Lepisosteus oculatus: one gene and its partners. The protein of the gene in region 2 interacts with the protein of the main gene of each other region in a pairwise test. Links are inferred from orthologs where the notes say so. Each region holds a gene or a part of one and is shown on either strand. Other genes may lie near its edges.

The links.
Region 1: the proteins of ubac1 (region 2) and rnf216 interact in binary tests that used the Homo sapiens proteins (3 or more experiments, as listed by UniProt). The link is inferred for Lepisosteus oculatus from reciprocal best matches to the Homo sapiens genes UBAC1 and RNF216.
Region 3: the proteins of ubac1 (region 2) and cpsf6 interact in a two-hybrid assay, tested with the Homo sapiens proteins (2 studies listed by BioGRID and IntAct). The link is inferred for Lepisosteus oculatus from reciprocal best matches to the Homo sapiens genes UBAC1 and CPSF6.

Annotation. Positions count from the first base shown.
Region 1 is NC_090714.1:10,450,639-10,457,627, reverse strand, and holds the start of rnf216 (E3 ubiquitin-protein ligase RNF216), read right to left. Parts: upstream 3,002-6,989; 5' UTR 2,916-3,001; intron 2,888-2,915; exon of another isoform or gene 2,682-2,887; intron 219-2,681; 5' UTR 157-218; coding exon 90-156; intron 1-89.
Region 2 is NC_090719.1:5,135,338-5,142,714, forward strand, and holds the start of ubac1 (ubiquitin-associated domain-containing protein 1), read right to left. Parts: upstream 3,025-7,377; 5' UTR 2,797-3,024; coding exon 2,659-2,796; intron 1,329-2,658; coding exon 1,208-1,328; intron 393-1,207; coding exon 319-392; intron 1-318.
Region 3 is NC_090702.1:23,479,122-23,486,394, forward strand, and holds the start of cpsf6 (cleavage and polyadenylation specificity factor subunit 6), read right to left. Parts: upstream 3,002-7,273; 5' UTR 2,952-3,001; coding exon 2,892-2,951; intron 1-2,891. UniProt on the Homo sapiens protein: Component of the cleavage factor Im (CFIm) complex that functions as an activator of the pre-mRNA 3'-end cleavage and polyadenylation processing required for the maturation of pre-mRNA into functional mRNAs.

The sequences.
Region 1 (6,989 bases), on a different chromosome or scaffold from region 2:
CAATTTCCGATGCTACTGTGGGTGCTCCCAATAAAACATCAGACTGAAGTGGAGTTTCTGCACTGAGGAGTGTGTGGGAGAAGACCCACCTTCTCCGCGATGTCTGTGGAAACTGGCCAGGTGAATCACTTCCTCGTCGCCTTCTCCATCAGCCATGATCGCAGGCTCCCCCCCGGCTCACACACAGGCCCAGAGTCACCACCTCGGCATGCTCCTGCCTCAACACGCAGAGGCCAGAGGTGTCATACAGCACAGAAGAAAAAAAGGTGCGCGAAAACAGAAAGACCTGAAAAGCAGCTGATGGCGATAATTTCGAAACTTAAACGGATGTAAAGCTCCTGGTAAACACATTTCAAAGTTTCTATTCACTTCCAATTTTAACTCATTTCAACAAGTGGCTGCCTGCCTACATACAAAAGCCTGAAATAAACAGACTGCCGATAGCAAAAATACAACCATGTAACAAAGGAATATTATATTATGAGGAATTGTATGTCTGCCCTCCTTACTGTCCCCCAAGCCCATCTACATTGTATGGACGACAGGGTCTTCTCCTGTTATACCCCCAAGCTCTGGAACTCTCTCCCCAAGGATATCAGAGAGTCACCTTCTCTAAACTCCTTCAAATCCAGACGCAAAACCCTCTTCTTCAGAAAAGCCTTTACTGAACAGGTTCCATTCTTCACCCCTCTGCTTTTCTTAGTACCACCATCCACGGTCTCCTCTTTATATTGTAATTGTGTTTTATCTTGTGTATTCTCCTTATTTATTGTTATTGTCATCCTGTAAAACGCTTTGAGAAGCCACCTTTAAAGGCGCTATATAAAATAAAGTGTATTATTATGATGATGCTTTAGCATATATTGAAAACCAAAAGACACAAGTAGAAAATAAGTGGAAACCCGGAGCAGTTAATTTTTTTGACAGTTTGTTAAAGGAGGTTTAGGTACATTTGGTTGTACTGGGTACTTCAAATGATTTACAAATACTTTGCCACTAAATCTGAACAATAGCAACTGGGGAACGAAATCTAGTCAAAGCACGAGTAAAGTCAGAACTCAAGTGAACACCTATTGCCCCAGGCTATACTCGGGCTAAACGTGCAGTGAAACCCCAAAGGTGCTAAGATGAGCTCTCACATCTTATTTGTATTTGAAAAATGTAGCAGGCAGATTTAATGTGGCACAGGTGCAAATACATAAAACAAACAGGGACACTTCAGAAAAGCAAAACGTCACGTTAGTGTGCTCAGCATCAATGCCCGTGGCTGACAAGCTCCAAGGCACAATATACAACACAGAGTGATGAGGAAAACTGGAATTTTGATAATGACCCTGCTGTGCAGCCTTGGAGCTACATTTCCAAAACCGATCGCCTTCTGAACGATCAAACTCGGTTTTAACGAGAGCTGTCCCTCTACTTTCCTTGTACTGTAACACTAAAACCCAGCTGTCATTTCACCCCAGCCCACCAGCTCCCCAGTCTAGAGTTACATTCGTCAATCAGAATGTATAACATGTGATGCAGTTCACATTCACAATGCTTAACCCATCTTTAAAACTTGTTTCTTTGAGCCAGGCGTGATTTGCTGAAAGGACACACTGCACTGTGCAATGGGAATACCCCTGGTGGCATACGAGGTTAAATACAAGAACCCCCCCCCCCCCCCCCGCAAAGATCAGTCTACTTTCAGTGCGGAGAAAGGAACTAACACTTAAATATTCATTCAAGTTTCCCAGCATTTCCGAAACTTTTTTGCAATCTCGAAAAACATTTGAATGCCTCATCAAATCACGCTGGAAAAAAACAGCGGTGAGGCAAAGGGTTTGAGAGGTCACCTTCTCAAAGCATTTTACAGACATTAAAAGCGTCTTGTCAAGTAGCTGTCTAGAAAGATTAAGACCGAAACACATCTATAGATCTTGCCAGGAGCTCTGAAATAGAGGGACCCAGAGGAACGGGGGTCTCGTATGTGAGTCACACATTTCTTGAAAACTGCTTCTGAATTTTGAACCCTCCTCTGCATGTGAAAACTGCACAGTAGCTCAAAGGTTCAAGATGAATAAGGTGTTTTCACTAAACACCTGCATACACTTGGAAATTAGTCTATCCTCGGCACTGAAATGCAAATGCAGCGAACGCAGTTAATTTCATAAAACTTGGGCAAAACTGCGTTTTGCTGAACTACACCGGTAACATCCCTGAAAACTAGAAATGAATCAGCAGTATCTAAGCCTTTTTTCGAATCTGTCGACCCAGTTGTAACGCACAAATATTAGGTGTTTTCCACCACATTGCTCATTTATTTCATTATTGCCACGTTACACATTCTGTGCTCCCATACAGAGGCTTCAGTTTTTCAAGATGGCAACAATAAAACAAAAAGCATTTAAACAAGTTTAGTAAGACAAACAACCACAGGACGACCTCCCTGGATCATCAGCTAAGGCGATGTTCCAAAGTGTTACTTGGATATGAAGCCTCTTCGAGTTTACTTAAGGAAAGTAAACAGCCACAGAGCAGTATAAACATTAATCGATTCTGCGTCATTAGTAATTTTAACAGAAATAACACCTTTATTTTTTTTCCATTCCAGTAATTATCGCAAACTAACATGTGCAACACTTTCTATTCAATCTTTCCTTAAAGAAGCGCGGTGAACATGAACTTAAACCACCCACTTGTTTTAACTATTGCTTTCATTTCCACTTCTGCTGTTCTCTCTTTTGACGGTAAACTCATAACACTGTCTTCAGTCAGACAACTTTAGCTACCAAACATTTGTCACAGTGACACTACAAGCGAGTAGTTACTGATCGCGGGGTTTTGTTGCGAAGAACAGCTATTTAGCAAAGCAATTCCGCATAACTGAGTCTACACTTTTATTTTTTTAAATAAAAAGTATGCCTACATACCTCTCGCTTCCTGCACAATACAAACACAACACACACAGCCAGTCTTTACCGACCGGAAATTGGAACGCAGAGGAACGTAACGTCAGACACCCATTTCTCACGCACATGAGATACTGGGAGATGTAGTCTTCACTCAACTACAAACTACGCCGATTGCGATATGTGAGGGATCACTCCACCGGTAGACACACTAGATAGAAGCGATATATGGCTAGCCAATTGATCATTTAGAGATATCTCATGAGAGATATGCCATTCATTGTTTAAAATAATCTTTACATGTATTTAGATATATCTCTAAATAATCATTTGACTTGCCACTGTGATACTACCTATTTGTACCAGTAGATGTCTCTCGTGTTGTAATTTTTTTAACTTTGTGGAAAATTACCTGATAACAGATATCCAGCGCCCTAGTATTCATACCATACCATAAAGTATTCATACCATGTCTATGGGGTCAAATTTGATAAAATCATAAAATGAGTCAAACGTGTTTTTTTAACTTAATATTTTATTTAAAACCTGAATGCTCAAGCTCAATACTTCCTAGTGTAAGATCGGTTGCTATAAATGTCAGTGAAATACAAAGACAATAAACTAAAATGTTACTTTACGCCTTACATATTCAGACCCGCGAACCAAATATTTCGTAGAAGTAACTTTTGCACCAACCACAGCAGAAGGTTTTTTTTTTGGTAAATATCTACCAAGTTTGCACAGTGGCTTGGTAAAGTCTTTGCCCATTCTACTTGGCAGATTTATTTGCTGAGGCTGTCTCAGGTAGCTTGGTGATCGCCTACTGACAGCAGCTTTCAAGTATTTCCACAGATTCTGAAGAGGATTCAAGTCAGGACTTTGGCTGAGCTACTGAAGGACTTTTGATTTCTTAAATCTTAAGCTACTCAAGTGTTCTTATATTATGCATCTTTGTTCTGCTGAAAATTGAGTGCTTATCCCAGTTTTAGGTCTGAAGTTAGTTTTCTTCTATGCTTTGCCATCACTTTGTTTAATCTATGTTATGATCAGTCAATCTTCCCAATTAATTGAATTAATTCCCAATTTTAAAGCTTGAAAACAAAACACACTATTTAAAAACAGCAAGCTCATACTCAGCCACCTTTACCCTAATATTTTTTATAAATATCACGGTAAAGAAAATGGAAATGAAAGTATAACACTTTTCTCATAGTTTCACTTGGGCATTTTAAGATGAAGGGCTTTAAATCATCCATCTATCCATTTTCTAATAGTTCTAATAGCTAATCCCAGCAAGCAATGGGCTCCGCAAGGTACAGTGGGATGGATGGGATGCCAGTCCATCTCAGGTTAAAAACAATTTTGACAAAAAAAATACACTTATGATAAAATGAGCAAAGAGGACTGTTTCCTCAGCCTGTTAGCCCAAACAGTCTCTGCCAGGGGTCCTGTTTTATCTCTGTCTCTGATGGAAGTCATCCTGAGATTTCTCCATCATGGTGTTTCACTTTTCTTTTAATTGCTAGAAAAGCCCCCTTTTATTTTATTTTTCTAAGGTTTCAAGATGTAGTTAGTGGCCAGTTGATCTGAAGAACTCAACAAGCCATTTCTTGACGGAAGCCAGGGTATCGGCTTAAACAACATGGCTGGACAGCTTGTTCCATATTCCTCTGCCTTCATTTCTCTATTTTAAATGTCCTTCCACCTAGTTTCCATCTGTGTCTTGTCATGTTTCCATGTCTGTTCTGATGTCGTCTGCTGGGTTGTCCTTGTCAATGTCCTTGAGGATTGGTTATCAACTTCAAGGACTTTATCAGGCTTTGAAAATTTGAGGCCTAGTCTTTCATTTGCTCTTAGTTCTATGCTCCTCATCCATTACATAGTCCAGAGAGTACATGCATGGTGAAGTGCAGTTTGCTCAAGGGAATAATGAAGCTCCTCGTGGAGTCATAGCACCTCACTACGTCCTTTCTTTTAAGATGCAGACAAGGTTTAGAAACCGACTGCACACAACCAACGTCATGACTATCTCAACAAGACAATAAGAAACATTGAACAAGAGAGCACAACTCCGTAAATGTGACGAGGTCTGGTATCCATGGCGACAAGGTGGCCAGAACAGATTGTGTCCACAATAGGCAAGAAAAGCGCTGATTGGAATATTGCTTTGGCCTCCATCTTTTGAAGGATTATTGCAAAGACCAACATCAAGAAACATCTTTGAACAAGAGAATATCAGTTCTGTTCCTCATAAATGATACAAAGGGGAGTTAACACTCTCAAGCAAATGTGTTGGCAGTGTTTTGCAATTAGGAATATAATAAATCTGTCTTGCAAATGCTTTGTTCAATAGATTGGCCAAATCCAAATTAATGTGACTTAGAGGAGAAATGTATTAAAAGTTTCTTTTGATGGCAGCCTACCTATGAGGACAAGCATAACAGGACGGCCATCTCTATTCCAGAGGATAGAGCTAGGGAGCTGCTAAAAGGGTGAAGATGGGGTGAGAGGAAGAAACTCAAAGTGGATGCATAGCGGGTGAGATATTTATGCACAGGAGATGCACATATAATACAGAGGTTAAAATTGTTATTCAGCTGTTTTCTGTAACAACCATAACTCTGTATTCACATGACACTGCTGAAGGTAATTTGAATATCATATTATCAGCAAACATAAAGTGCACTTTACAAAATGTGCACTGCAACAAAGTATTATAATTTCTGCTACATCAAAAACATCATCCTCAGAGTACTTCACAGTGCCATATACTAAAAATCCATTAAGGACATTTTGATCTCTGGATAAAAATTTCTCACTGTCTTTATTTTTAGATAGAGCACTCCGACTTCATTTTACCCATGACTGACCAGAGTTTCTTTGAGAACCATTTTTAAGGCATGGAGAGGAAAAGCTTTCATAGCTGTTTGTCACTTCAATCTACTGTTTTATATCTTCAAATAATTCTAAATAGGATAATTCGGAAATGCTTATTTGACGTTATGTTGTGTATGATTATTTCATAATGTGAGATTGTAAGATAATTTATATAATGCTTATTCTTTGTGAATAATCGAGCTATAATTTACTGTACTGAGAAAGTATAAAAGGAACATGAAATGAGAAAGTATAAAATTAAGGACATCGATCAAAAAACAAAAATTGAATCAGCTATGCCTAAAAGGGTTTCAAGATTCCAGTTCCGATTCCAAGATTTCTGTTTGATTTATGAGATTCAGTTATCTGTTTTGTTTCTGCCATGAATGTATCCATTGTTGATATCTTTTATCCATTGTTTTTTCATGTCAATCATAAAGAAATGAAATCAAGTAATCTGCCACTAGTGGGTATAGAAGACAGTCCCTTTGTTTGTTTTAGCAACTGCAGGTTTTTAGTTGCACGAGTATGTAGAAACAATGCCATGCACAGATTTCATGCATGTTACCTTGTTGAGCATTACTTTACGAAGAAAGCAATATATACTTCAGTACAATTTGCACTATTTCCTACAAAGTATATTTCGTACATAACTATGCCAATTTTCATCTCCAATTAGAGCTTTACCAGTAAGAAAATAATTTTGCTTGCATTCCAATGAGCATTTACTGTAATATAAATAAACTTCAGGAATCATACTTTCAATAACAACGAGAAAAAGGAGAAGAAATACCAGCAACCTGAATATCAACAGTGAAACACAAGGGTCACAAGTGGACAGTTAATCTCCATTGAGAACAGGAGGCACATCCATACGCGAAGGGCAGTGGGAGTGTGGAACAAGCTATTTCCACCTGTTCTTTAAACATAAAGCTAAAACTCTGGCTTCCTTCCAGAAGCGGCTCTATGAGAAAATCAGATCAATTAGCTACTTACCACTGAATTAGTTAAATGGGGCAAAGGGCTTCTTCTTGTTTGTGACTTTTCTTACGGTATCACTTCTGTAGCATGCCATAACATGACAATGACATCACCAATGGCAACAATGGCATCACCAGCAAACTTTTATTATAATTATTAGTGAAAAAGGGTTCACTAATAAACTCTTTAGTAGTCCCACAGACATGATTAATAGATAAGGAATAAAGTATTCTATTC
Region 2 (7,377 bases):
AGTAATAAAAAATTAAACATACAACTTGAACATGAAACTGGTTTCTTGTTTGAATTCCCTCTTTGACTTAAGGTGCCAGAGTGAACTTTTACAAGGTATTGGTGTGAGGTTGTTAGCATTTGACACCCCTGTGAACTCTCTCCAGTTGTAACAAAAAAGTGAATAGGCATGTTCGGATTAGCATATATTCCAGCACTGAAAGAAGAGCGTGTTTGGTAGCCTCCTATGCATCCTCTACCCAGCTCATTCTGGAATATTTGTGCTATTATAAATTAAAATATTTTGTTGGCCTCTCACTAGGTATTTAAAATATTTTACCTTTTCTTCTGTAGACACTTCAGTCATCTTCGGTGGGGGAGGAGGTGGTCTCTTTTTTATTAACAGTAAGACATCTAGGAGAGGAAACAGAATGGTCCATAACAGAAGGTACCAGATGAAAATTCTCCTCAGATGTAATTTTGTACCATTGCAGTCTCTTTTGGTGCAATCACTCTATAACAATTTTTCAAAATTAGTTCTTTTTTTTTTTCCCCCAACAGATGTTTTCAGAACATTCCAAGAACAGTGATCCAACAAAAGGAAAATAAAAGAAAACTATTTTACACTTGGGTGTTTGTCAAGCCCTTTCTACATAACTGCTTTAAAAAGTCATCCAGCCCATTTTTCTGCAAGTGAAAAACAACTTAATGAGTACACCAACGTACAATACAAAACTATGCATTATATTACCAGTCAGAATTATGGTACCACTATCTAACATAAGAAAGACCATAAGACTGCTTACAAATAACAGGAGGTCATTCGGAAGCAGTAGCTAATTGATGTGGTATTCAATTCCAAAACCTTAAATGAGAGTTTGTCAACCTTAGTAAGATACTAAATATAACATTAAAACCTTCCTCATTTTTAGTTCTGAATGTGTCAGCCTCAAGACATTTCATTATTACATATTGTACATGAGGCCAAAATAATCATTGAAATTAATCACAATAAAAAAAGGATGAATAATGAAATATCTTTATGAGATACAAATGGTTTTCAGCCCATCTAGGCAATTGGTAGTAAATATTTAAATGATCCAAGGACCCCATTCTGGTGATTTCTTGAAAGAAGCCAAGATATATGCTTCAACAGCATGGCTGGATAAACTGGATAAGACTCCCACAAACTTTAACCTGTAACTCCTCTTCCTCTCAACACTACTTACCTTTATCTTTAATATTCTCCTCTACTACAGTTTTAGTGTCTGCTAGGACTCTTTCTGAAGCAGCATGGATCAGTTTGTGATGAGTCACAGTCTTAGGGTCTTCTAGGCTCCCATGGACATACTAGAGCAAAGAAGAAAAAAAGAAATGTGTAACTCTCTTGCTTCTGACAAGTTTAAAACAACTTTCATATACAGAAATTAGTCACAACAGAAATCCACACATCCATCTACTTTCTAACTGCTTCATCCAATTCAGGGTTGCAGGGGAACCTGAGCCTATGCAGGTCAGCAACAAGAGCAAGGCAGGGCACATCCTCAACAGGACGCCAGTCCATCACAGGGCGCACACACACAAGACACACACTCGCACCAGGGACAGTTTTCCCAGAACCCTATTAACCGAGCAGTACGATTTTGGACTGCGGAACGAAAGGCACACAGGTAGAACATACAAACTCCATACACACAGCACCCCAGATCCAGAAGTGAATCCAGGGCCCAAGTGCAGTGAGGCAACAATGCATACCACCTCCCCACAACAGAACCATTGCAAAATCTAAATGTTAAGATCGTAAGGTCACAGATAAGATGAGGCTATTTGGCCAATCAGCTCCATAGCTGGCAGTTTATTAATTACTTCAAGGATCTCGACAAGCTGTTTCTTGAAAGAAACCAGGATATTGACTTCAACAACATGGCTGGGAAGCATGTTCCATACTCCCACAACTCTCCTGTTATTGGTTTTAAAAGCACCTCCAAACCTTAACTATACTTGTGTCTTCTGGTTCATCTTTTGTTGAAATTAGCAAAACGATTAAAATGAAGTTACATCTACACAGAATACACACAAAAAGTCCAATATTAGTAAAACAAAAATACATTCTTTCTAGCTAAGAATGAAATGGAGGAAAACGACAACAAATCAAATCAAGAATTATTACACCAACTGGGAAAATACTATTCTATTAAGATTTCATATAGAGTATACTGAAAATACAACATGCAAAAAATCGTTTCGCTCTGTTTTTATTCGTCGTTGAGGCAGTTAAGAGGCGGTAATGTTAACCGGCTGATGATACTAGTGGCTAGGACAACGGCAATGTGCAAATATAAATAAAACAAGCAACAAGACACCTAAAACCTATCAAGTTGAAAATGATATGGGCAAGAAGCGTTACATTTAAAGAAAACAGATCAGCTTGCAAACATTACGAGAAGGAAGAGGAGCTATGACAATTTTGGGGGGAAAAAAATTACCCTGTTAGGTCGACGCGTAAATTAAATTATAAATAGCCTAGACAAGCGCTCTTCTATAAATACCGGAGTATGACAGTTCTAACAGGCCTACCGGGAAATTCAGTCACTGTCCTGATAACGTCCTGGCTACTGCTGTCCTGACGATCTGCGTTTAATTACATTCAAATAACATAAGAAACAACAGGAAGACATACGTGTTTCAAGCACTTTTCCTTGAGTTTTTCAATGGTGGTGTCCTCGGTTACCTCTTCCAACCACTCTGCCCCCTCCATGGTGCAAATATGGATTTTCAGCACCTTCCCTGCAAAAATCTTCTCCTCCTGCACAAACATAGCCCTCTTCTCTCGAAATCCAAGATTAATAGAAAAGTCAACAGCTCAGCTCTTATTCTGTCACCATTTTACTGGCTGTCCGGTTCGATTATTGTACATCAACAGTACAGTACAGCGGTTTGTTTGTTCTTTTTTGATGGACTTGACAGCTATTTACCTATCAGGCAGGCCTGTGGACTGTGAAGCTCCGTAATACCGCTGCTGCTCAAGTCCAGGGATTGAACTTTAAACTCTGACCTGGAAGACCTTCGGAGGTATTCTGGGAGTTGAAGTTTTACAAGTGGGCGACACAGTGGAAAAAAGTCTGTTATAATACATTAAATGAAAATATTATTAATTTTGATAGGACAAATGAAAAGCTGAAATATATCCTGCAACATTTAATTGAAATATTGAAAACTTGAATTAGGTATTTTTATTATTACTCATGCTGTATGTGAAATCATATTTTTTTAGCTATAGTTAATAAACGGCGTACGATATCTAAACATACAGCATTAAAATGGCATTGATAATTGAATAATTTAGCTTTATGAAATAGCCTTCCAAAACAGATTTAGGATCAAACACCCTGAGCAAAACGATTCTTGAAAACCATTACGATTCTAGAAAAAATAAACTATAAAAAATAGTCACGCTTTTGTGGTATTCCGTTTATTGCTGCCTTTCAATCTATTAGAAAACTTTATATCCCGTCCCCTTCAAAAGTAAAAAGATTTAAAGACAAATCCATTCAGGTTTTTCTGATCAAATTTTGAAGTATCAAATAATGACCGACTTTTCACTGTTCTTTTAATGCCAGCCCGACCGATAGTACTTCCTGTAGTATTGTTTCCATCCCAAGAACAATGATAGGGAGAGGATGCGCTTATTATTTTTTCCATCGGAGGGCGACCTACAACAACAAATAGGCAACACAAAGACTGAGAGTTCCCACATTTAATAAGAACCCAAAACTAGGGTTTCAAGACAAAAATTAAAACGGAGACACTTACACTCATCATATACACACACGGCTACATTTTACGTTGCATTTTCGGCGTTGGGCTTTTGGAGACAAGAAAAGCAGTTCTCATCTGTGGAGCAGGTTATAACAAGACTCCAGTTTCAATACAGTTTTGAACAAATTATCATTGGAGGTGCGGACTCTAATTAAACAAATATCACCTGCAAAGGTTGTCAAGTTATGTGGTCAAGAAAGAAGGTACAGAAGTTCGCTGGAAATAAAACTTCTCACAGATAATTGGTTTCTTGTGGGAAATTCAATCATTATGAGTTATAACACCAGTCACCAGTCACCAGTAAAAAAAAACAAATTAGTTACCGCCTTTATAACTTTCATAATAATCCGATAATTTTGTATCCCTTTACCATCAGTCATACGCGCTATATTCAATATTTGCTTGTGCGTCACCTTATGGTAAACCGACGCCATGCAGTCGGAGAAATCATTATCGGAAAACACTTAAAATATTTCCAGTCATCTTCTAATGGCTCAAATATGTCATCAGATAACCAATGACGGGATTTACAGGTCATAGGTCACACGTTAAAATAGTGCTGCGAGCGAGTGTGGTATATAATCGTCCCTGCACCTGCGCTGGGATCTTTGTGAAAGCCACTCCTCACGTCATCCCAGATGACTAAGAGACTCACAATAGCCAATCTGAAAAAGGCACAGCGCTTGCACTTTCTGCGGTGCTTAACCGCGGCATCACTGTGTGGTACAACAATACTACCATGCATGACAGAGATGCACTACAAAAGGTTGTGGTAATGGGACAGAGGATTATAGGATGTGATTTACCATCAATCGACGAGATCCACACCATCATTCACAGGATCCCAACCATCCAGGCCACAACCTGTTCTCCCCCCTACCTTTCTGGCAAGCGATACCACACTGTTAAATCATGGACCACTTGACTCAAGTATGCATTCTCAACAGCTAACTGCAGTGCCTTAATACACATCTGCGCTACACACTTTTTACATAGTCTACCATTTTGTTTGGTCTACTACATATTTATTGTTCCTGTTGTCTACATTGTGTGGTGCTGTCCGTTGTACTGTATGCGTCCCGAGAGATCAGTGCGATTAAGAATTCCAATGTACGCGTACTGTACGTATGGCGATAAACTACTCTGCTGTCGACGGCAAAGTTGAACGAGAACTGGCTGTACTCTGTAGAGCGTTCATCACCAACTGGCTTTCTTTGGAGACGCCGGTGTTTTTTCATCGTTTGAACCTCGCAGAACATTACAAAACACTCCCGATGTAGGACACCCCATCCCTTAGTATCAACGTGAACCACCCCCCCTACAAACGGCAGAAACAATGATACCCAACTTATTCGTTTGTGTTATGTATTGCTAACTAGCAAATTGATAGAACAACAGGTTTTAAAGTGTGCCAAGTGTGCGTGTCCAGGAGACATTTTACCGCGTAGGAGCTGCGCTGAGCCTGTTTGAAGAGTTTGTCAGGTTACAGTGAAGTGCGGTTGTCATGAAACCAAAATCTTACACCCAAAAAGATGAGCTGAGAGGTCTACTTTTCCCAATCTAATTTGTACGATTTTATTATACACAACCCGAACACAATAAAATATTGGCAATAACGTCTTGCTTTATACTGTTTTCAGTCCATTCGTTAACCTTACTCGAGTTGGAACGTTTTGGATGCTTCAGTCAAACTATTTTTTTATTTTCTTTCAAATAAAACATTTTATCTTTCTCGGGATGTCCCTAATAGCTTGCAGTAAGGCCTTAATTAGATACAGTACAATATGTGTATATGGTACTTATGCCAATTAATAGTAGGTAATTCTGTCTGTATTTTAGCACTGTGGTTCATCACTGAAGGCCAGATAGACCCTTTTTAATAACACTTTACACATAACAAAAGAGAATCCAAACAGCATATTGCTGCTTAGTAAGTGGGTAATTTTTGACCCAACCCAAAACCTGCTGCTAACATCAATCCTGACCATTAAACCACTCTTAAGATCCTATACTAACACTGTGAGAATTGAGGAAATGTTTTATAGCAGTGATATCTGAAGAGAAAAATACACAGGTAACAGAAAACCTTTTAAATTCTGTCAGAGTTTGTGCAAATTAAAAGGCTGTATTGCATGTGGCTGACATGATGTAAAGTTAAGAAATAGAATAATTGAATGTTTTCTTCAATATAGAAAATAAATGAGAAGCCTCACAAAGACAGGAAAATAATTCTGAAACTCTACAATGTAGTACTGAACTTGTCAAAATTTGGATAAAGAGGCCTTGTGATGGATGTAAAATTACCAAAAACACCTTTATGTTAAAACCATGTAATGCCAGTTAGGAAAACTGCATGCATTTTCAATGAATGCTTACTCCACAGAAGAAAAGACTTAAGATGAGTTTTAGTAAAACCTAGACAATGGCATCATTTATTGTAGCAAGAAACAATCATTTACAAATCAGTTAACAGAAAATACTTTTTTTGCAAACTACAACTTTGCAGGTCGGTAATTTATTACAGACATTGTATTACATTTCCTTTGTAAACTACAGTCTAGTTTATAAAACATGACAGTAAGAACGGACACCATCAGATGCTCATCAAAAAAGCATTAGAGATGTCACAATATCACAACAGATTAGAACGCTACAAAACAAGTTTTTTCTTTTAAAAATGCTGAGTTCATACATCGTACCCTAAATCCCAAGGATACAGAGTGGCTTATCTTGTATTACAGCAGAAATCAATAAATAATGATTTATAAAGACTTACTGTTTCTTTTTCTTTTTAATATGTAGGGACTAGAAACAGATCCCATTTCTTTTATATATATTTCAACATATTTATATTTAATTCTTCCTCAGTAATACTGAGTAACATACATGTAATGTATGCATGATGAAACAAAAAATCCCTCTAAACATTGTGACATCTCTAATTGACATGACATTTAAGACTTAGATTTCTGAAACAAAATCCTGCTTTCGTAAAAACACCTTATTTACACATTAAACACACCTGGCCACAGGCTTGCTTCAAACAAGTATTACAGTCATTGAAAACCATTTTAAAGATGAGCAAAAAAGGAAAAGAAAGAATCTTCCCTCTTCTTTTCCTAAAAGCACCTCAAATGGTTTGTCAACACAACTGTTTTCTGAAAGAACAAAGACAAAAGTGTCAAAAAACACTGTGCAATCTTTGCACTTACTCAGACAATACGTTTGTCCCATCTTTCTTTATTTTCCATTCCTGCATAGACAGATTAGTCTGGTGCACTTGTTCACTAGGCATGTGACAACGCCCTTTTCTTTACAATTCCCGAAAGATCCTAGTGCAGTAAATTATAAATACTGTGCCCTGGCAAGGATGTTTACACACAAGACAAACAGCATCCCTGTTCTGTAACTGCTGTGCACCTCAGGAATGACATTTTTTTCTATTTTCCTTTTGTTCAAAATATTGGAATCCAATTTCACCACAGTCTGGACATAAACAGTATTTTCCCACAAAACCAAATTCTACCAGGGGCTTATATCATGAAAAGTAGTGGCAGTTACCTGAATGACAAGAACAACA
Region 3 (7,273 bases), on a different chromosome or scaffold from region 2:
CTGGGCAGGGCATGTCTAAAAGAACCCACGTTCGACACCAAATGTTTGAACAGGCCTCTTCACAAGTGACTTTTCAGATTTCTGAAATACTGACAGTAAACCAGAGTGAACTGAGGCCTACCAAAGTACGCACGTCCAGTTTGAAGCAGTCACTGTCTTATATGAAATGCAGTACTAATAAAGACCACCGGAAGGATAGTAATGTCCCCTGTGGACATGGTATGTCCTTTCCCAGCACGTTATTCTGACCTACAGTATTTCTGTCTTCATGCGATACACCCCTTCCAAAAAAGCAGTTTGCTGAAAATCAGGCCGGATGTCCAGCCTTAGGATTACCGCGCCAGGCCACCTGTCATCTCGAGTGTGAATATGCCAACGCAAATGCTGAGCCTTCATCGGATTTTACTAAGGACCAGCAGCGTCGAGTCCTAGTCCCCCAGAATATTGTTAGCTGCAAAAGTAAGATGTTTAGAAGGCATGAGTTTCTATAGTGTGGCAACGACATTAACCCTGTCAAAAAGCCCTGCTTAAAAACACCCGCCTCACTCATGACCCCCAGGTCCAGCCCGTTGTAACATTGTGCTTCCCTGTTCGCCGAATATCTGCCATAACCAGGAGGGCTGAGCTGTGAATATACAGAAGCTCTCCAGCTTCCCAGGGCTGAGAGGGCAGTGTTTACAAACCTCAGTGCAGGTGAGGCCAAAGTCTGCACAAAGACTAAGGAAGGAGTACCACCCCCAAGGAAGGAAAGAATAAACAAGTGAAAGGACAATTTAGTCTCTGATCAGCCTTGGGATCGAGTCTGGGGTAGGGGTGGGGGGGTGTTTACAATGTGGAGGTTGCATCTCCCCCCCCCGGAGCTCGGCGACGAAGTCGCCCATACGTGTGCACCCTACTATAGACCTGCAAACCCCCCAGAGCTCGGTCTCCACCTTGTGACCTTCGCTTCCAAGAGTCCAGTCTGCCACAGCTCTCACCACCTTTCTGAAGATGGACGGACAGAGGGAAACTAACCCCGCTGCCCGATCTAATTCCAATCGCGGCGGAATGCAATAAATGCTTAACTATAAAGCACCCTGAACAAAGTTTTGACTTGTGATAATCTGATGAGTACTGGACACTGCGTAAGTGTATCAGTGTATTATTCAGTCCCCCCCACCCCCCAAAAGAACGAATACTCTCCATCCGCCACACCCCAATAAAATTGGAGGCAGCACAACTCGATAACACACGGAAGTACTGCAGTACCAAAACGCAACACACTGCTAAGAATGAGCTCTGCACTCCGAGACCTAAATCACCGCCACCGAGGTGGGAACGCACTTCAATCGCTTTCACGCTTTAGAAGCCGCAGGCGCGCAAACCATCACGACGTACCGCACATTTTAAAAATGTCTTTTCCCAGCACAATTATTCACCCAGATGCGCCCGGCTGAAATTATACACTCTCGGAACTCTTCGTACAGTAACTTCGGGGATTCAGCTCCCGGCGCAATTGGGATCTCACAACGAACAAACACAAACCTTAGATGTTAAATCTGAGGGCGCGGGACGCAATCAGAAATCCCCACAGTACACAGTCCTTTGAGACCGATCACTCCTGGACAGTGTGCATGAAAATTCTTTTCAGAAACGGCCTGGGCTGATGCCTACATAACCTAAACCACTAACTGTGAGAAGTTTTAAGATGACTTCAACGACAGCAGGTCTGCAATTGAAACCCGTACAAAAACTACCTTGATTTTCTGGTACCGAGAACAATAGCATTTTGAAAAGCACGCCAACCCAGTAAGGAAAGTCACGATTTCAAGTTAAAGGCTGTAATGAGACGCTTCAAACGAGCTCTTAGCAGACAGAAAACGCCCCCCCCCCCCAACTCCGTTCCAAGTATTTAAGAAAGACCCCCAATTTAATTTACAGCTCACAGAACAAATCTATGCAACAAGATTCTCAGTGCGATCGCTGCAAACGCTTAATGAAAGTTAAGACGAAAATGTGTCTCAGCAAAAATAAGATTTGGGTCTACTTTATACGTTGCACAAAAATACTTAATAAATGTTGAACATGCAAATTGAGTATCATGCATTCCGAAACGTGCGAACAACCGAAGAAACGCCAAAATAATTTTGAGCACATCTTAATGTGTCCATGAAAGTATTACACGCTGAAAACATCACCCTCAGAACTAAACAAAAGGAAGCACGAAAATGTCAGCGGCGCCAAAAATTATCGCAATTAATAAAAACGGTGCACGTGGTGTTTACGTCGCAAGAGTGCTATATTTTAAATTTCGTCAACATCACGTTACGTCTGAGGGGTCATATTACACTGGGATCGCTTACAGCTTCAAAGCATGCAAACAAAAACAAAAGGTCAGCTACACGCACCGTTTTAATTCTAGCCCTGTGAATACTTAATGCTTTAAATGAACGGTGATCAGACTCCGGCGAGGCGGGAAGGGGGGGGTATTTCTAAGCCCGGACATTTGCTCCCCGAGGACGTGCACGTCCCCGCGCGGCTCACGAGCAAGGCCTCAGCCCGCGACACAAACAATGGAAGCGCTCCCACGCGCCGCGCCGCCCGCCGCCGCCGCCGCTCGTTCTCTCTGCTCCTCCGGGAAACTCCGGCGGGGCGCAGCGCCGAAAGACTGGGCTCACCTCCCCCGGCTCGTTAAGGGCACCGAAAATCCAGGGTGCTGGGCCCTTCGCTTATATAACCCTTTAATCTAAAAAAAAAACACTCCCTCGAGGTCTTTCTCTGAACAAAAATAGAAATCCTTTCTATAAAGGTGCATTAAACAAACCCAAACACGGCTGTCCTTTTTACGGTCTTCCAAACGAAATTGCAATTCTGCATTACGCACCGAGAGGATAACAATAATGCATGCTCACCTGATTAAACTCCTCGCCAACATCCGCGTAGATGTCGATGTGATCCACACCGTCGGCCATTTTCCACTCTTACCTCCTCCTCCGACTGGCTTGAACCAGAATAAAACTGCTAACAGGAAAACACTGCGCGTCACATCCGACGGTCGGCCAAACACAGAAGAGAGGAGGAGGGTGTAAAGACTTCGGCTCTTTTTTTTTTGACTAAGCGTAACAAGTTGCTGCTTTTTAACTTGGTTACGATAACAGAACTTCACAAACTATTCTCAATTATGCAATTTAGGAGATGTCGATACCGGCTCGCTAAATATTCTCTTTAGGCAAATCAAGGTCATAGTGTGAAATTCTGGAAAATTATCTAAAATGCACAGTTATAATTATTAATTTAGGTGGCGCCGTTAATCCAACATGTACATGCAAAAATGTACACGTGAACGATAAAATATGAATAACATGATAATAAAATGATGTGATAAGAGCACACGACCCACATAATCAAATATACAAAATAAGAACCATTTTTAAATCAGTTTTACTAAAGCAATAATACCACAATGCACAGGGACAGATATTATTGTATACTGTATGTAATGGGCTCACGAATTCTCCAGTAGACCTAACAGTAACATTCCACACAGTCGTATAAGCACTATCGTGTGGTACAGTTCCTTTCTGGGGTACAATAGATGACGATTCTTAAAAAAAGGTTCGGTTATTTTAATGTTTCATAATACATGAGCGCATGGATTAAAATATTGATCGAATTGTTATGGAATATTGGTGTCAAGACTTTACAGGCAAATTTATAATAATCTATAATTTGCACAGCGGTGTGTAGTGAAGACTATCGTACAATCTTGTGTCCAGCGATTGTAGGATCGATTCTAAAAATACATCAAAGAAGTAACGAGTTTAAGTAATTTTTCCACAAGGTGGTGCACGGTGATCATGGACATCTACGGCCAACATTTTCACATTTGTTCGTATGTTCATAAACGGACCCCTTTCAGGGCTGTTTTTTATAAGATCACTTTATTAGCCATATACAATTTCTTGCATTACGAATTCATCTTTTCGCATACCCCAGCTTGCTTTCCATGAGACACACAGACATGGAGAGAAGCTTGGGGTCAGGGCTTACTATTTCAAACATGACAGAGCGAAACTCTTTGTATTTTGAAGACGGCTTTTGTACATTTCACCTAAAGAATTTATCGTGACCTAATTGCCCATGGTATAGTTTCAGAGAGTCTAGTTACAGAAGACCCTAAACCCTAAAAATTATGATCAAGAAATCCAGGAGTCGAGTTAATTTGCACCTGGGAAAATATCGGTAAATGTAGCACAAAACAAAAGAGGTGTAGTCCTGCTAGGAATCTCAGAGCAGTTCCCTGAAATAAGTGCCCCATTATTTGCAAAATGCAGATTTTGACAAGTGTGGGATTATCTGAATAATTTCTGCAATGGTGCTTTGTCTGTCATATACCGTCTATGTTGCTGCAAAGCCAAAGATTTGTGCAGAAGGGGGTATCTGTATCTATATTAGATTGTAACAGAATCCACAGTCACAAGAATGGGTTACAACAATACAAATGCACTGTAATACACTGTAATAAAGTGTTATACATAATATGTATAAGAATAATGTCAATAGTTATTGACAATAACATTTCTTTCACGTTAATTAAATACTGTACTTCTTCATCCTGCCAAGGTTTCTTGTTAAATCAATCTAAAACTAATCTAAAATAGAGGGTGTGAAAACGTCTTTCTTTTAATTCTATAGATGATTCTATAGATGCTCATGTACACCCTATATTTTAACTTGGGCTAGTAAATTCAATTTAAAACTGTATTTTCTGGGATGACTGGTTATTAAGTATCTTTATAAAATATATTATAATCAAAAAAGCATACTTTAAGAAATTTAATTTGATACACATTAACGATTAGCACTGGACACTGTTAGATAAGGTTAGTGCCAATACTATGTATTCTATTGAATACGACTGTAACTGTATTCTATATAGACCTACAATGTATCACTTGAAATATCTGTTAATTTGACTATCCATTGTGAAAATCTCTTTGACGTCATACGGTACATCTGGGATTGGGATCATTAAGGTTTGATGCATTTTGCACTAACATCATGTAGAGCATTGGCTCAACAGTATAAAGAATAAAGCAAATTAACTAGATATAGAAGAAAGTGTTGAATTGGACGGCATGTGGTTTTTTTTTTACAATAGAGAAGCAGACGAGGTAGTCCAGATATCTAGATTGAATTCAATTCTGTCTCACACCAAGCAAAAATCTAATTCTGGTTAGGATGAGATTCAGATGGGTGATGTATCAAACCCACTAGCAGTTTTGAATTAAGAAATTTTAAGAAAACTGCCAGGAACATGAGTCATCCTATTACGGGAAACATTTAAACCACAGTGAGGGAGTGAAACTGGAATTATATCAAGAAATACATGACATGTAACGGGAACAAATTCACAATTACCAAGCAAATGACAAACCCCAGACATTAAATAATTTTAAAAATATATATATATATAAGTGTATACACAGCATCCAAAGAGTCGCAACAAATTCAGAAAGTGTCAGTTAACTGATAATGTTTCTTGTAGCAGCTGTACTAACATTTTATTGAAGAGACAAGACAGGCAAATTCATTCTGCTGGTTAATACTGGGCATCAGCAGGACTGAACACCAGGAGGGTCCTATTGTGCATGTTGTAGTCTAGTAGAGTATGTAACCACTTCTGATGTGTGGCACATACACTGCAACAGGCTGCAGATGTTGTCTTGTGGAATCCTGTCCCATTCCTGTCCTAGAGCCTGAACAAGCGTGTACTTTGGTCTCTCTGCCCTAGACGCCCAATGTCATCTCTGTCATCATCCTGCAAACTGCCAGTGGGGCTCAAGTTGGCAGAAGGGCTCTGGAGCACAACGGTCACATTATGGTCAGGAAAGCCATTATCACGAGGAGCGTGGGAATATGTTCTGCTGGAAGTGCTGTCACTTTGGGATGAGCTAGCAGGAAAGGCAGCACGTGAGGACCCAGGACTTGATCAATATAGCGCCTTGCAGTCAGGTTGCCATCAACTACTGTGCCACACTCACAGGCATCCATCAGACATTGTGCTCCACGTAGATTCATGTCTGAAGAGGTCTTGACTCCACAGCTGCTGAGTTCATCTGAGGCACACAATCAGCTCATCACCTGTGTCCAATAAACTCTTTCACTGAAGAGGGGATTTAGTGATTATGTAACAAAGTCACTCAAAATAAGATCACTTTATTGGCCATATAAATTTATTGTATTAGGAATTTGTCTTTTCGCACACCCCAACTTGCTCTCCATGAGACACACAGTACAATACAATACAGTACAAACTCAGTGAAAAACAGGTACACTAACACATCTCCAGAATGGAAACGAACCCAGGACTGCGCTTTCTTAAGGGTTTAATGGCTTAATGGTTTAAAAAATAATTGTATTAATATCCCCGTTAAAGATAGCACCTGTCTTTTTCAGTTCCCTTTTTTTCCTTTGTAAACAGACATGGTTCGCAAAAAGAAGCTTTTTTTCAAACAAGTTAAAGCACTTGACCAAATGCAATAACGTCCCACGGACAATAAATGTTTCTCCCTTGAAATAAGGTGACGTAGTGTCTGCCACTATCACTGCAGCCACCGTCATAAAGAAGTTTTTTTACAGGCTGTCGCAGACTGAAACATTAAATTAACTGGTGATGAATAATTCTAGCAAAGCAGTCTATGTGATTTTGGAAGACCGTCGCCTCTGGTACCGTGGCTGCAGATCTTTGCACATATACTCCACACAGACGTAACGTCAAACGTCCAGGACGTTTCTCATTTAATTGTTTAAAAGCAGAACAAAACTCAATTTTTCTTCTCCAAAATGAACTTTTCTAAATCGTGTCCACTGCGCCCTCTAGTGGTGTTCCGCCTGTCACCACGCAGCATTACAACGGTCATTTTTAGAACGGGTATGAAAACAGCAAGACTTCAATTTACGGAAAAGACAAACATCAAGGAAATAGTAGAAACAAGCCCTTTCGTCGCGTGATTCCATTTGTATCACACCCTAAAAACAGTGTTCAGAAAATAACCTCATGTTAAGAGGACAGAACTGTAGAATTGAGTGCAAAGTTGGAACACTGTTTGAGTCTAGCCCATCCGAGGATCTCCTTCCAGCTGTTTCTTGTCTTCTGTTTTCAGTACACTTTCACCTAGTTTCTAAGCACCATGTAGAATAATGTGTGCATGTGTTCTGGTACAATTAATGAATTTTACTAATGCACTCTTCTTTTTTGTTGTTGTTGTTCCTTATTGCTATTTAGCTAGTC